Linked DNA regions of Xenopus tropicalis. The protein of the gene in region 1 interacts with the protein of each later gene in a pairwise test. Links are inferred from orthologs where the notes say so. Each region holds a gene or a part of one and is shown on either strand. Other genes may lie near its edges.

Evidence for each region. The genes of interacting proteins can lie anywhere in the genome.
Region 2: the proteins of retreg3 (region 1) and map1lc3a interact in binary tests that used the Homo sapiens proteins (3 or more experiments, as listed by UniProt). The link is inferred for Xenopus tropicalis from reciprocal best matches to the Homo sapiens genes RETREG3 and MAP1LC3A.

Annotation. Positions count from the first base shown.
Region 1 is NC_030686.2:29,106,487-29,112,854, reverse strand, and holds part of retreg3 (reticulophagy regulator 3), read right to left. Parts: intron 5,679-6,368; coding exon 5,572-5,678; intron 4,252-5,571; coding exon 4,221-4,251; intron 3,389-4,220; coding exon 3,262-3,388; intron 2,597-3,261; coding exon 2,512-2,596; intron 2,080-2,511; coding exon 1,942-2,079; intron 1,435-1,941; coding exon 1,364-1,434; intron 926-1,363; coding exon 793-925; intron 478-792; coding exon 32-477; 3' UTR 1-31. UniProt on the Homo sapiens protein: Endoplasmic reticulum (ER)-anchored autophagy regulator which exists in an inactive state under basal conditions but is activated following cellular stress.
Region 2 is NC_030686.2:41,163,519-41,169,686, forward strand, and holds the end of map1lc3a (microtubule-associated proteins 1A/1B light chain 3A), read right to left. Parts: intron 4,324-6,168; coding exon 4,217-4,323; intron 3,269-4,216; coding exon 3,106-3,268; 3' UTR 1,678-3,105; downstream 1-1,677. UniProt on the Homo sapiens protein: Ubiquitin-like modifier involved in formation of autophagosomal vacuoles (autophagosomes). While LC3s are involved in elongation of the phagophore membrane, the GABARAP/GATE-16 subfamily is essential for a later stage in autophagosome maturation.

The DNA of each region.
Region 1 (6,368 bases):
TCCAGCCCTTATCCCATCATGATTGCTTGCGTTACTGGTGGGAATGTGAACTCGATGGGTCCATCTGGCTCAACTCAGACTGGTCAAGTAGTTCAAAGTCATCGGCTTCTGCGTCAGTGTCCAGCTCAGAGCTGGAGTTTCTCTGATACTGTTTGGCTCTAGGACTTTCAGCATAAGCGTGGGTTTGCTGGCTGGCCCCTGCAAGTGCCAGCTGTATCATGCCCCTGGTCACAAATCCAGCAATGTTTTCCGTTATGTTCTGAGTGCTCGGAAATCCGCCCAGTGACAGCTCTGCATCCAGTGACTCTTGCTCCTCATACAGCTGGCGAGAGGAGAATTGCGGGTGAAGAGCTGTGCTTGGTATGCCAATGCTAGTTTCATCATCATCTTCTATTCCCGTTGCATCTGGGTTTATCGAAGGAAAGTCAGGGAGATCACGAGCAAATGACTCCTCTGGATCGCTGTGGCGGTCCAAATCTGTAAAGGATTAAACAGTTTAAAACTATTTGTAAATATGTGTAGGGATCTATTCAGTAGTAAATTAAAAATAATAAAACCAGCAGTTCATTGGTTGCTAAAGACCAGGGTGTTACCCTAACAACTAAAGTGAGTGCAATCTGCTAGAGCCAGCCGCTGTGAGCATTATCAGCATTGTTCGTTACTAGGCAGCATATTCTGTATTTCACACCCAAAGCATCGGGCGCTTTAACACAAATTCTGCTATTTTGCAAGTTCTGCTGTGAATATTCTCATATACAGAGAGGAGACATAAATCTTTGCTTGTTTTTTTACCTTCAGAACCTTCTGTAAGAGGTGTTTGGCCCCTGGATAAGTTGAATGTCCCATTTTCAGTGAAGGAAACTTCTGCATCTGAATGCTCGGAGTCGGAAATGGTCAGTTCTTTAGCTACTGCTGAATCATCCAGCTGGAAATCAAACACGCAATGGAGAATTATTAATAAAAATACACAATGAAAATATCTCCATTATAACACAGGGCTTTCAGAAACTTCAGCTAAAGGCCATAGTTACTCAAGATCTGCAATAAATGTTGTTTTTTTCCCTAGACACTGTCTACTGTATTTACATATGTATTAATCCCAATGGATTCATACACATACAAACAGTCCCTTTGGCCAAACAATAACACACTTATAGTTATGAGAGTAGGACATAGGCTGGAGGTGGGTCAGGCAATGTTCCCTCTAAACTGGGTTCTGTGTGGTTACAGAAGGGGACACCAGCGTATGGTTGGTTCATTGGGCTACAAGATGTATAACAGCAATGTGCTAACCTATCCCTACTAGTAAGGATAATAATGACAACTGTATAATTTTTTTTTATTTAGAAAATTGTACTTTTACCGAAGGACAAAATGCTGCAAGCTCTTCTTCACTGTCACTAGCATCAGTTGGAGGAAGGGCACGATTATGCTCTGAAATTAGAAATATAGAGAGCAGTTTTTCACATGAATAAAATAAGCAGAAATATGTGCAAGTGGTATATATTTAGAAAACAAAATATAAGGTAGCCAATAATATATGAGTTAAACCCATCCATTCACTAGCACACACTTATGAGTACGCCAGAGCAGCATTGTGCTGAGCAACTGTTAATATAGCCACCTATGCAGTGTCTGGTACATCTGGTCTTTCCAAACCTACCTTAATAATGCTGTATCTGTGAGATTTAGTGGGGCTGCTGCTAATGACCCACTAAACTGTGCAGGCAGCTTTAGATAGGCCTCAGTCCCAAATCTTGGTTACTTCAGTTAGCAGCAGTTAAAAGGACAATACACACTCCTATTTAAAGTAAACTTAATCAACTGGTCGTATGTCTTACATTAATAGGTCCATAAATCAAAATCTTTACTGCAAACTGAAATAAACAAGCATACTTCACACAATATCCAAGCTAGAAGGGTTTTATCATAGCCACTTACTTTGCCTTTCCTTATACTTGGACATCATATAGCCACGCACACTGAAGTCTAGCCGCTGCAGGGCTGGCTCCAGCTTCTGGTATATACGCCGCCCCAGCTGGTGATATATAGCAAGAGGCCAAAGCAGAAGAAAAAGTACTGTGGGGTGGCAAAAAAAAAAAACAAAGCAAACAGCATAATGAGAAGAATGTTTTTTCTTGCCCAACAGGGTAAGGCACTGATGGCATACCTATCTACTGTTATATGTCTGATGTTTGAAAAACAGAGATTTCAGTATTCAAAAAGCTTGTGAAATATATTTTTATCACATTCAACATGAACCTCTGTCAGGACTACCTCTAGACTGAACAGTAGGTCAAGCCAGAAGCGAGAGCAGAAAGCAGAAGTACATATTGTTATTTGGTTTTACCTGTTTTAATAGGATTTTCTAAACTACTGAAAGGTTCATGTTCAAGTAAAGGGTTTGTAATTAGTATAATGTAGGGATGAACTCCTTGTTCGCCAGATCTTACTGTAAATATGCTTTTTGGTACAAATGACCATTAATACAAATGAAAATATTCAACTTACAAAGCAAATATGACAGCACAACACCAGGAATGTATCCACCAAGAACAGCTAGGAAAGTCAGAAAGCTGCAGGCCAAAAGGCAAAACTGTATATGAAAAGACACAACAAGCAATAGGTTTACATCAGTCGACAAATACATGCAACATAAGAGGCATTCATCCATCAGTTTTGGCCCAAACCTCTTCTTGGTTGGTCTACCTTATTTATTTATATCAAATAGTAGTCAGTACACACACTAGTAGTGTGTTTGGGTGTAAGTCCTAAAGCAGCCACTATATTAGAATGATATGGACAACATTCCATAAAAGCAGGTCACACATGCCTATAATGGATAACGACTCTTCAAATTGCAAACTAACAATTACTGGTCTGTGTATATGGGCCAAAATGACACCCTTCCTAAACAACATCTGACTGACAATCTGCCAGATATCTATAAAAATTCCACTGGGCAACGACCGACTGCATCGGATTCTGGATGCAGTGATGCAAATACCTCTATGGTGATCCAATTGCTGAGCCCAATTCTTCCTACCACCTCAATGGCCTTCTTGTTTGGTTGGCTTGAAAGCCTACAAAACTCTATAATTCTTTTGGATGCAAGAAACCATATTTTAATTATTTTGATAGATGCCTGTGGGGTGGGGGGAATCACCATTTCAACAGCCTTAGAGAAACAGGTCATTTGTCCATATAAAACCAGGTAAAATAGTTTGAGGCGTTCAGAATAGTACACAAAATTTGAATTACCTTGCCCGGATTTTCAGTTTTGAAGAGCAGAAGATTCCTTAAAAAGTTGTAGACACTGACCCATGTATCAGCTGCATGATAGCACAGCTCTGGGACGCTGAGCAGCCTTGGATGCACATAGCCCCAGCTGAAACACACCAAAACTCATCATGAAAACAAATCTTTTAACATGTAGTAAGTAGAACAAAAAGACCTAAAAGTTAAAGAAATAGTCTAGAGATGCTAGATCTTATGTTTTCAGCTTTATGCCCAAGGATCACATGTTCTGGCTTGCAGTCAGTTACATGATCTTAGGAACAATATACAGTATATGCACAGTACAAGGCTCAGATTTACATGGCAGTATAGAAACCAGTGCATGTGAATTATGTGGATGTCTGGATGCCCCTGAACCTCCTTTTCTGCTAATTTTTTGATAATGTCAAACAACCAGAGCACACGGAGCATGTGCAATGCCACAGGCACAAATCAAACAGCCAAACAAAAAATGGAAAATTTTAAATTTAATATTATAGGGCTACGGTAAATAATTGAATATACACATTTATATGTTAGTTGTCTGGGGATATAAGTAATAATTCTTCCTGGTGTCACCAAAAGCAATAAGAAATCACGTCTTCTCGCTCTAAATGTCTATGCAGTCTAATCTGATGTCCTGTTCTCTCATAATAGGTCTCCACAAATCTATGTGACATATTATATATAGTATGTATATATTACTATTATATATAGCATGTAGTAGTATAAAAGAGATAAAGCAAAACGGAGCTGAACATAAAAAGCATAAATGTTTCAGCTGTCTGGCATCAACCTCAGTCAGACCCCAGAAGCATCTGCTAGGGGTGGCATAGAACTACAACTCTCACTTTCTCATAACTAAGGTAGGTAAGGTGTGGCTAGTTCTAGAAGAACTGGTATGGCCAAGAAAGCAATAAGGCAGTAAGGTATAACTATCTCACCTTTCATTCTCCAGTTCACTGGCTCTTGCTGCTGAAAAAACACAAACAGAAATAGTGAGAACTAATTAACTAATTTGAATATTGTATCTTTTAAAGCACCAGGTATATTATATATTCTGTACTGTCTCTTTACAGGGGCAGAATTGGTAGGTAGGTGGTGCAATGGAACAAAGAAAAGTCTTACCAGTGAAAGTCCTTAATGGGGTTTTGCTAGAAGGGTCTGCATTAAGTATTGCTCATGATCTAACCTATGTTTACATGCCATGGGCTTAACTAAACGTGTCCCCTTAAAAGACAATTCACCTTGTAAGAAGACTAAAGGTGGCCATACACGCACCGATATTATCGTACGAAACCTCGTTTCGTACGATAATCGGTGCGTGTATGGCATGTCGGCGAGTCGACCGATATCGCAGGAAGCTGCCGATATCGGACGACTCGCCGATCGGACAAGTTTGAAAATTTTGATCGGGCGCCATAGAAGGCGCCTGACCAAAATTCTCCCTTCAGAGCTGAATCGGCAAAAGGAGGTAGAAATCCTATTGTTTCTACCTCCTTACCTGCCGATTCAGCCCTGAATGGTGTGTGGCGGATCTTACGATGTTTCGTGCGACCGATGGTCGTACGAAACATCGTCGGATCGCCACGTGTATGGCCACCTTAACACTTTCCAAATTCTTTAGGAATGGTCACCCCTTTGTTAATTGGTATGTATAGACAAGTCTGAAATCTTGTCTATATCAAGGTTTAACCATGATAACCACCCCATGGATGTTGGAGAACTATTGTACTGTGGCAAACTTCAGGAAACCTTGGTTCCAGTGAAAGGACATTATAAAAACTGTATGTATTTAGTTTTTCTTTGTTGCCCAGGGGCTGATTTGCTATAAGCAGACCTGTTTGTTAAGCTAAATGGCATAATCATATGGCTTTCGATTTAGTCCTGACCAATATGTGTGCTCCGATAGCGTTTCATGTTCATAACAGATAACTCTGATAAAGTATGTAATCATGCTGAAAGCATCAGAAAGAAAGTTTCTAAGCAGCACCAACAAGAGACCTGTGTTTATTTGCATGATACTTATGCAGGAAATATGGGGACTTATCCATATCTTAGCCTTTATAGCCCAGGGCTGGCTTTGCTGTGAGAAGATAAGCTCACTGGAAGACTGCAATTAGAACTACGGCTTTGCAGAATACTGCTTTCAGTTTTGCCCTGGCCAGTAAAGAGTATGTGAGAGCTCATATAGGAAAGAAGAGTTGCATATATACACGTGGAATCTTGTATAGATAGAAGTATATCAAGTTTTCAGTGACAGCAAGGGAAGATAATATCAAGAATTCTCCTTACCTCCCAGTTCAGGCCACAGTTTGTTCTTCCACTGATCTGCACAAATGATTATCATTAGTCCAAATGCTACCAAAAATATGATTCTGAGAGAGGTCAGGGCAAAAAACCTGCAAGTAAATAAAAAAAAGATAGTTGAATAACCAAATTATTTTGCACTTTTTACATTTTCACCACAATGAAAAATGCATCAGCTGGGGGCACTGTTCCGGCAGCACCCACATTATTCCTGTTGTCCCAGAGATCTGAACTGTCCCGATAACACACATGCACAGGAAAATAATAATTTCAACTTTAAAGTTGCAGTCCGGATTTTTACTCTGTGGGACATATGCAATGCTCAGGACACCCAAGCGAATCGGAAGGGCCATTGATGGCATTGCAAGGCAGGAATAGTACCCCTTGTAAGATTAGAGATTATTATTTAGTGGGGGTTGCAAAAACTCTAGCACCCCCGGTGAATATCACTTTGCTTTAGGCCCAGCTCTTTAGCAATATTTCTGGCAAGGTTATGGCAGTGCATAACTGGCACATGCATTAAGTTCAAAAAGGAAAGAAAATGAATTGAATCCCCCAAATTACAACAGAAGTTGTTCTTCCAATGCGACCTTAGATCTGTCAGACCCACCATATATGTCTGAAATACAAGGTTGATGACTCCTTATGTATATGATAGTTAACCCTTTGCACAAGATCAAATGCCCTCTGCAAAGTCTTCTACTGGTGCCCCCTTACTTTTGCAAAATACTTCAGCGTCAACTGCCGCTTTATCCCAACTATGAAGTTATATATTTTGCTTT
Region 2 (6,168 bases), about 12 Mb from region 1:
TGAGTCAAAGTTACATTCTGTGTGTAAAGAATTCCCTCTTAGCAATCGCTTTAGATGAAAAGCAATGAATGTGAGAGGCAATTAAGCCTATAAATAGAAACATTGATAAAAGATTGGCTGGGGCTCCAGAACAGGATCTGACAGCTACGTGATTCGCAGAAGGAATATATCCATTGATTCCATTCAGGGTGGGACAAATAAAGAAGCTGGAAACGGCTTCTTGTAGCCCATAAGGACATGTTTACCGTCCTTATGGGTTTTTTTTTTTCTTTAGAAGCACAGGCCTCATTACATCTCTTCACGGAATCCCAACGATGAGCATAAACACAGGGCTGAACATCTACATGAGAAAGCCTGAACTTGCTGAACTACAAATCTCAGCGTGCCCCAATGCCTGAAGGCAAATAATACTGACATCTTGAAACATAAAGGTGGAAGCTATAGAGTTCAGGTATTAGGCTGAACCAGGTTATCCAGTTAAGCAACATAATACTTAAAAAATGACATGCACGTTAATTGCCTGCTGTAATGAACGTCCTGTTAGACTATTAACAGAACCTACAATTTATGGAGGGTAAATAGTAACGTGACCATGGCAGTTTTTTCATGAGCCAACAAAATTGCTTATCATATTTGACACTGCCTTTGCTAATAGAAGAACTTCTATTATCTGGGATGCTTGGAGCAGGTAGTAGGGGGTACAGATATAGAGGTCTGAGTTAAGCTGCTGATTCAGGTCCTTCAGACCCATTCAGCAGCTTCTCTGCCTGTGTATGGGGACCCCTGACCTATATCTGACCATAAATTGGGCAGATGTCGATTAGGAAGGTTTGATTTTCCCATCAGATCGGCGACTTCATTGACTTATTGATGTGTTCTTTGCTCTGAGGGGCCTTTTCCTGTCATTGTAAATCGATCATTTGGACCTCGCCAAAAACTCTATTAGATATGGCAGGGCAGTCCAACTGGAGGGCTATGGGCTGGATGTGGCCCTCCAAAAGATATTTAAGGCCCAAAGTCTGCTTAAAGTCTTCATAGACTTCACTGTATGACATCATCATTTTAACTGCACTGAGCTATGGGATACAGTGTTTATTTATAATAAATCATATTTATAATAAGGCACCCAAGGGCCAGTGCCTAGGGTGGGCGGTCCTTGGGTGCCTATATTTTTTTGGGGGGATTTAAAACAAAAAAAATGCCCCCAGCCTCTGCTGCTGATTCCCATAGGAAAACCGGTGACGGATCTGGGCAGTAGGCGGTCGTGGGCCACTTCCGCAACAGCGATGCGTGTGACATCACAGGCACGATGTAGAGGCATGTTAACCCACTGAAACCAACCGCATGTCTGCTTTTATTACTCTAAAATGGTTAGAATTATAAAACAGATGTCCGATTGGTTGCTATGGGTTTAGCTGGCCATACATGGGCTGATAAAACTTGGCCACCAATGGGCCTTTCAAACCGCTATCTGCCCGAAAATCAGATTTCTATTGGGCAAATTTGATTTTCCCATCCAATAAGGAGCACATTAGCCTTAGGACCCGCCATACGATCGTTGGCCCAGATCTGCTCAGCAGATATATGCAGTCTATATCCAGCTTTACTGATCTGCATCCTACATAACCCTCATATCCATTATCCAAGGCTGATTCATATCACAAGCAGCAAACGGAATTCTTTCAATATTTTTTTTATTCTTATTTATACACATGAAATGTATCAGTATATACACACATCAGCTTTTTATATTTATATAGTTTTTTTTTGTACATTTTCTCATTGCAGTATAGAGAGGGGAAGTCTCATTTACCCTCTCACCGTTTTACGTTCCATCAGGAGAACAACAAAAAGATTAAAATAACTAAAAACAGAAAAAGGAGACTTTAGCGAGACAGAAAACTGAAGTCTAACTCTGTACAGCTATTAACAACCCCCCCCCGACCCCCCCTAGTCACTCCGTATTCATGATTATCAATCACTATAACACTCAAGAAAATCAGATTTATGCCAGAATTTGGCAGATTAAAAGAATAAAATAAATCGTACAGGTAGAAAGAATCGGTTACACACAAGTATCTCCATTTTCGAGAGAACTGATTTTTTTTTTCTCTTTTGTATCTTGCTGTTTACTAAAATCTACAAATAGCGAAAGTTAATGGTGTTGTTGCTATGGCCAACGACCAGCGGCTACAAGAAGTGCAAGCGGAGGCATAATAACAGTGGGCCTAACAGCAGGTATATATTTTGCCCCCCTAAAAAAGAAACAGTAAACCACGTGAGTAAGCCCATTGGCCAGCACTGGTTTGATGTTATACTAAAAAGCTGCCATGTTGTTATTACTTGTGACCGCAGTGAATTCCTCTGGACAACAGAAGGAGCTCTTAAAGTGCTTCCATGATTACACACTGGAAATCCTGATAAACCGTAAAGCAGGAAACTGTAGTGGATATCTGTGAGTGCTGCAGTTTTTTGAACAAAGGGTTAACCTCAAAGGTTTATTGTCCCCTTTACTCCCTAAGCTCCACTGATGAGACCAGACAATATAGACCCAAATGATAAAATTATGGGCTCCATTTTGTGATGGAACGCCGATATTAATACCCTTTGTACTTTCAGTGGTCCTCGGGCCCCTAAATGTCCACATTTCTATAATTTGTGCCCCTGTTTGCAACCTCACAAATATGAGCCACAAAAACTCTATCTACAGTTACACAAAAGGGCAAACCTTTGTTGCAGGAAAGTGTGTTACACATGGGGCACCCCATTTTTACTGCGTGTGTGTAACCAGGAGATTCTGCATAGCAGCGGAAGGTTGATTGCGTGCAAGCATGAAATCTTACATACAGGCATGGGGGGTATGAATGTGTGCACAGAAATAAGTGTGCGCATACACACATTGCATTAACAAGCGTCCAAAGCATGGTGGAATGCTCGTGTAACAGTATTTGTGCGAGGCAGTACTTGTGCAAGAATGATTTGTTGGTATCTACAGGCAAGAAGTGTGGTTAAAATCACATGTAAGTGTCAATATGCAAGAGTGTGTCTGTGCATAGCCGTGTTGGATGTGTGTTGGCGTGCGAGCGATTGTGCATCCTCAGGACATCAGTGGCCGAATGTTTCCTGCGAGGCATACACCATGTACAGGAAGCCGTCCTCATCCTTCTCCTGTTCGTAGATATCCAGTATTGGGGTGGAGACACTCACCATGCTGTGCTGGTTAACAAGCAGGAAGAAGGCCTGGGTGGGGTTCAATTGCAGCCTGCGTCTGGCAAAGGGAGGGAAGCAATTATCAGGCAATTTGCTCCCTGACTGAGAGAAGAACTGGCAATAGCTCTGTTATATAACTACAAGGATGTGCAACGGTGAGGGCATGTATACAGGATGAGGCAGACCTGCTCCTTACAAGGTAGAAGTATCCAGGGAGTTACAAGGTGGGTTATATAGAACAAAGGTATAGGTAGGGTTATATGGAGCAATAGGAGGAGTTATAGGGAGGGGTATATGGAGCAATAGGAGGAGTTATAGGGAGGGGTATATGGAGCAATAGGAGGAGTTATAGGGAGGGGTATATGGAGCAATAGGAGGAGTTATAGGGAGGGGTATATGGAGAAATAGGAGGAGTTAAAGGGAGGGGTATATGGAGCAATAGGAGGAGTTATAGGGTGGGGTATATGGAGCAATAGGAGGAGTTATAAGGAGGGTTATATGGAGCAATAGGAGGAGTAATAGGGAGGGTTATATGGAGCAATAGGAGGAGTAATAAGGAGGGTTATATGGAGCAATAGGAGGAGTAATAAGGAGGGATATATGGAGCAATAGGAGGAGTTATAAGGAGGGTTACATGGAGCAATAGGAGGAGTAATAGGGAGGGTTATATGGAGCAATAGGAGGAGTAATAAGGAGGGATATATTGAGCAATAGGAGGAGTTATAGGGAGGGGTATATGGAGCAATAGGAGGAGTTATAGGGAGGGGTATATGGAGCAATAGGAGGAGTTATAGGGAGGGGTATATGGAGCAATAGGAGGAGTTAGAGGGAGGGTTATATGTAGCAACAGGAGGAGTTATAAGGAAGGGTATATGGCGCAATAGGAGGAGTTATAAGAAATAAAATGAGATATATGGAAAGTTAAATGGAGCAATTACAAGAGTTAGTTATATATATATATATATATATATATATAGAAATATACATAATAGGAAGAATGGTTTACCTTATGATTTTCACTAGTTCACTCATATTCACATGATCTGGAACAAGGAATTTTGTTTTATCCAACACAGGCAGCTGCTTCTCCCCCTTGTATCGCTCTATAATAACCTGAAACAACAAAAGAGACCACTTAGAATACCCCCCCCAACCACAGACCAGACAACCTTATCTTTCTGCCATTCAAAACCTGTGAGGCTACACGCAACTGGCAATATGGCAGCTAACATGTAAACATATATATATATTTTTTTCCCTGAGGAAGAGCACAGTTAGTGCTCGAAACGTTGGATCTCTTTGCTTAAATAAACTTACTATATTTTTGCCAAGTCCTGGTGAGTGCAGCTCTTTTTTCTTGCTATATATATATATATATATATATATATATATATATATATATATATATATAATGAAAAAGAAGGTTCTTTTAACAAATAGCTATGTCATCATACTGTTTTGCTTGTTCTGTACCCTTAGAAACCACATTCACATGTAAGACACAGTGTTCTTATCCTCTTTCCTTTTAATTAGATTCTGTGATTAGATTTAACCAAGGTCTCTTCATCTCCACCCTGAGAAACAGAAACAAATTCTTTCCAATATACTAGGGACAACCAACCTTCAATAAATTTTCTGAAAAAGATATTTACATATACAGTACAACCATTCAGGGGTTATGCACTTCGGTGCATATATGTCAGCCCATACATACTTTATATTATATATACAGGTATAGGACCCATTATCCAGAATGCTCGGGACCAAGGATATTCCGGATTAGGGGTCTTTTAGTAATTTGGATCTTCATACCTTAAGTCTACTAAAAAAAATCAATAAAACATTAATTAAACCCAATAGGATTATTTTGTATCCAGTAGAGATTATTTATATCTTAGTTGGGATAAAATACAAAGCACTGTTTTATTTTTACAGAGAAAAAGGAAATCAATTTTAAAAATCTGAATTATTTGATTAAAATGGAGTCTATGGGTGACGGCCTTTCCGTAATTCGGAGCTTTCTGGATATCGGGTTTCTGCATAAGGGATCCCATTCCTGTATATATTACCAGAAGGGTGGCTCACCACTTTAATTAAATACCCAGGTGCACAGTAAAAATATAACACATCATATTAAAAAGACCAGCAACACTGGGATTTCTGTGCAAATCAAAAAAGTACATTTAAATCCCAGTGTTGCTGGTCTTTTTTATATGATATATATGATTATATATATATATATATATATATATATATATATATATATATATATAAATTCCAGCTTATGTATGCCACAAATTCCCCTGAACATTGTTGCTGAAAGGCTCTGTATAAACACATACTTGACAGGTATATAACTGGACGCCCAAAGTGCTTACAGCTAATCAAAAAAAGTACATTAAAGCCCTAAACACTGCTACGCAAATATATCACATAAGCCAGTCTTTAGTTATAGGAGCATTTCATATCAAAAATCTATATTATATATATTTCTAACAGTATGTGCCATATAGAAAACACTGCCATTTTAGACACTGCACTCACACACAAACCAATGACACGCACACATGCTAGGTACATCAGCCAATGAACGGCCAGAGGTGGGTCTTGTACTCCTGCCACAGTTAGAATGGCTTTCCTGTTAGGAGTTCAGTGAGGGAACAGAGCACCAGAGAATGGTTTGTTTCCAGGAATGAAAACTGATATTAAACCCCCTCCCCCCGCGTGTTGGCCTTCTAGAAAGAACAGTTGGGCGCCCAGAGGCCTCAACAAGTAATTGAATTTGAAATGTTATTTATAAATAGTTCCTTAGTCATAAATTGTAACAGGTCCTTTCTTGAGCACCAGGAAGTGATAGAGCAAACACAAGTGAATAAATAGCTTTTCCCCTCTAATTTTAACTGAATACTGTATATTGACATGAGTTTCAAATACTCCATTTGAACTTGAGTCTTTTTA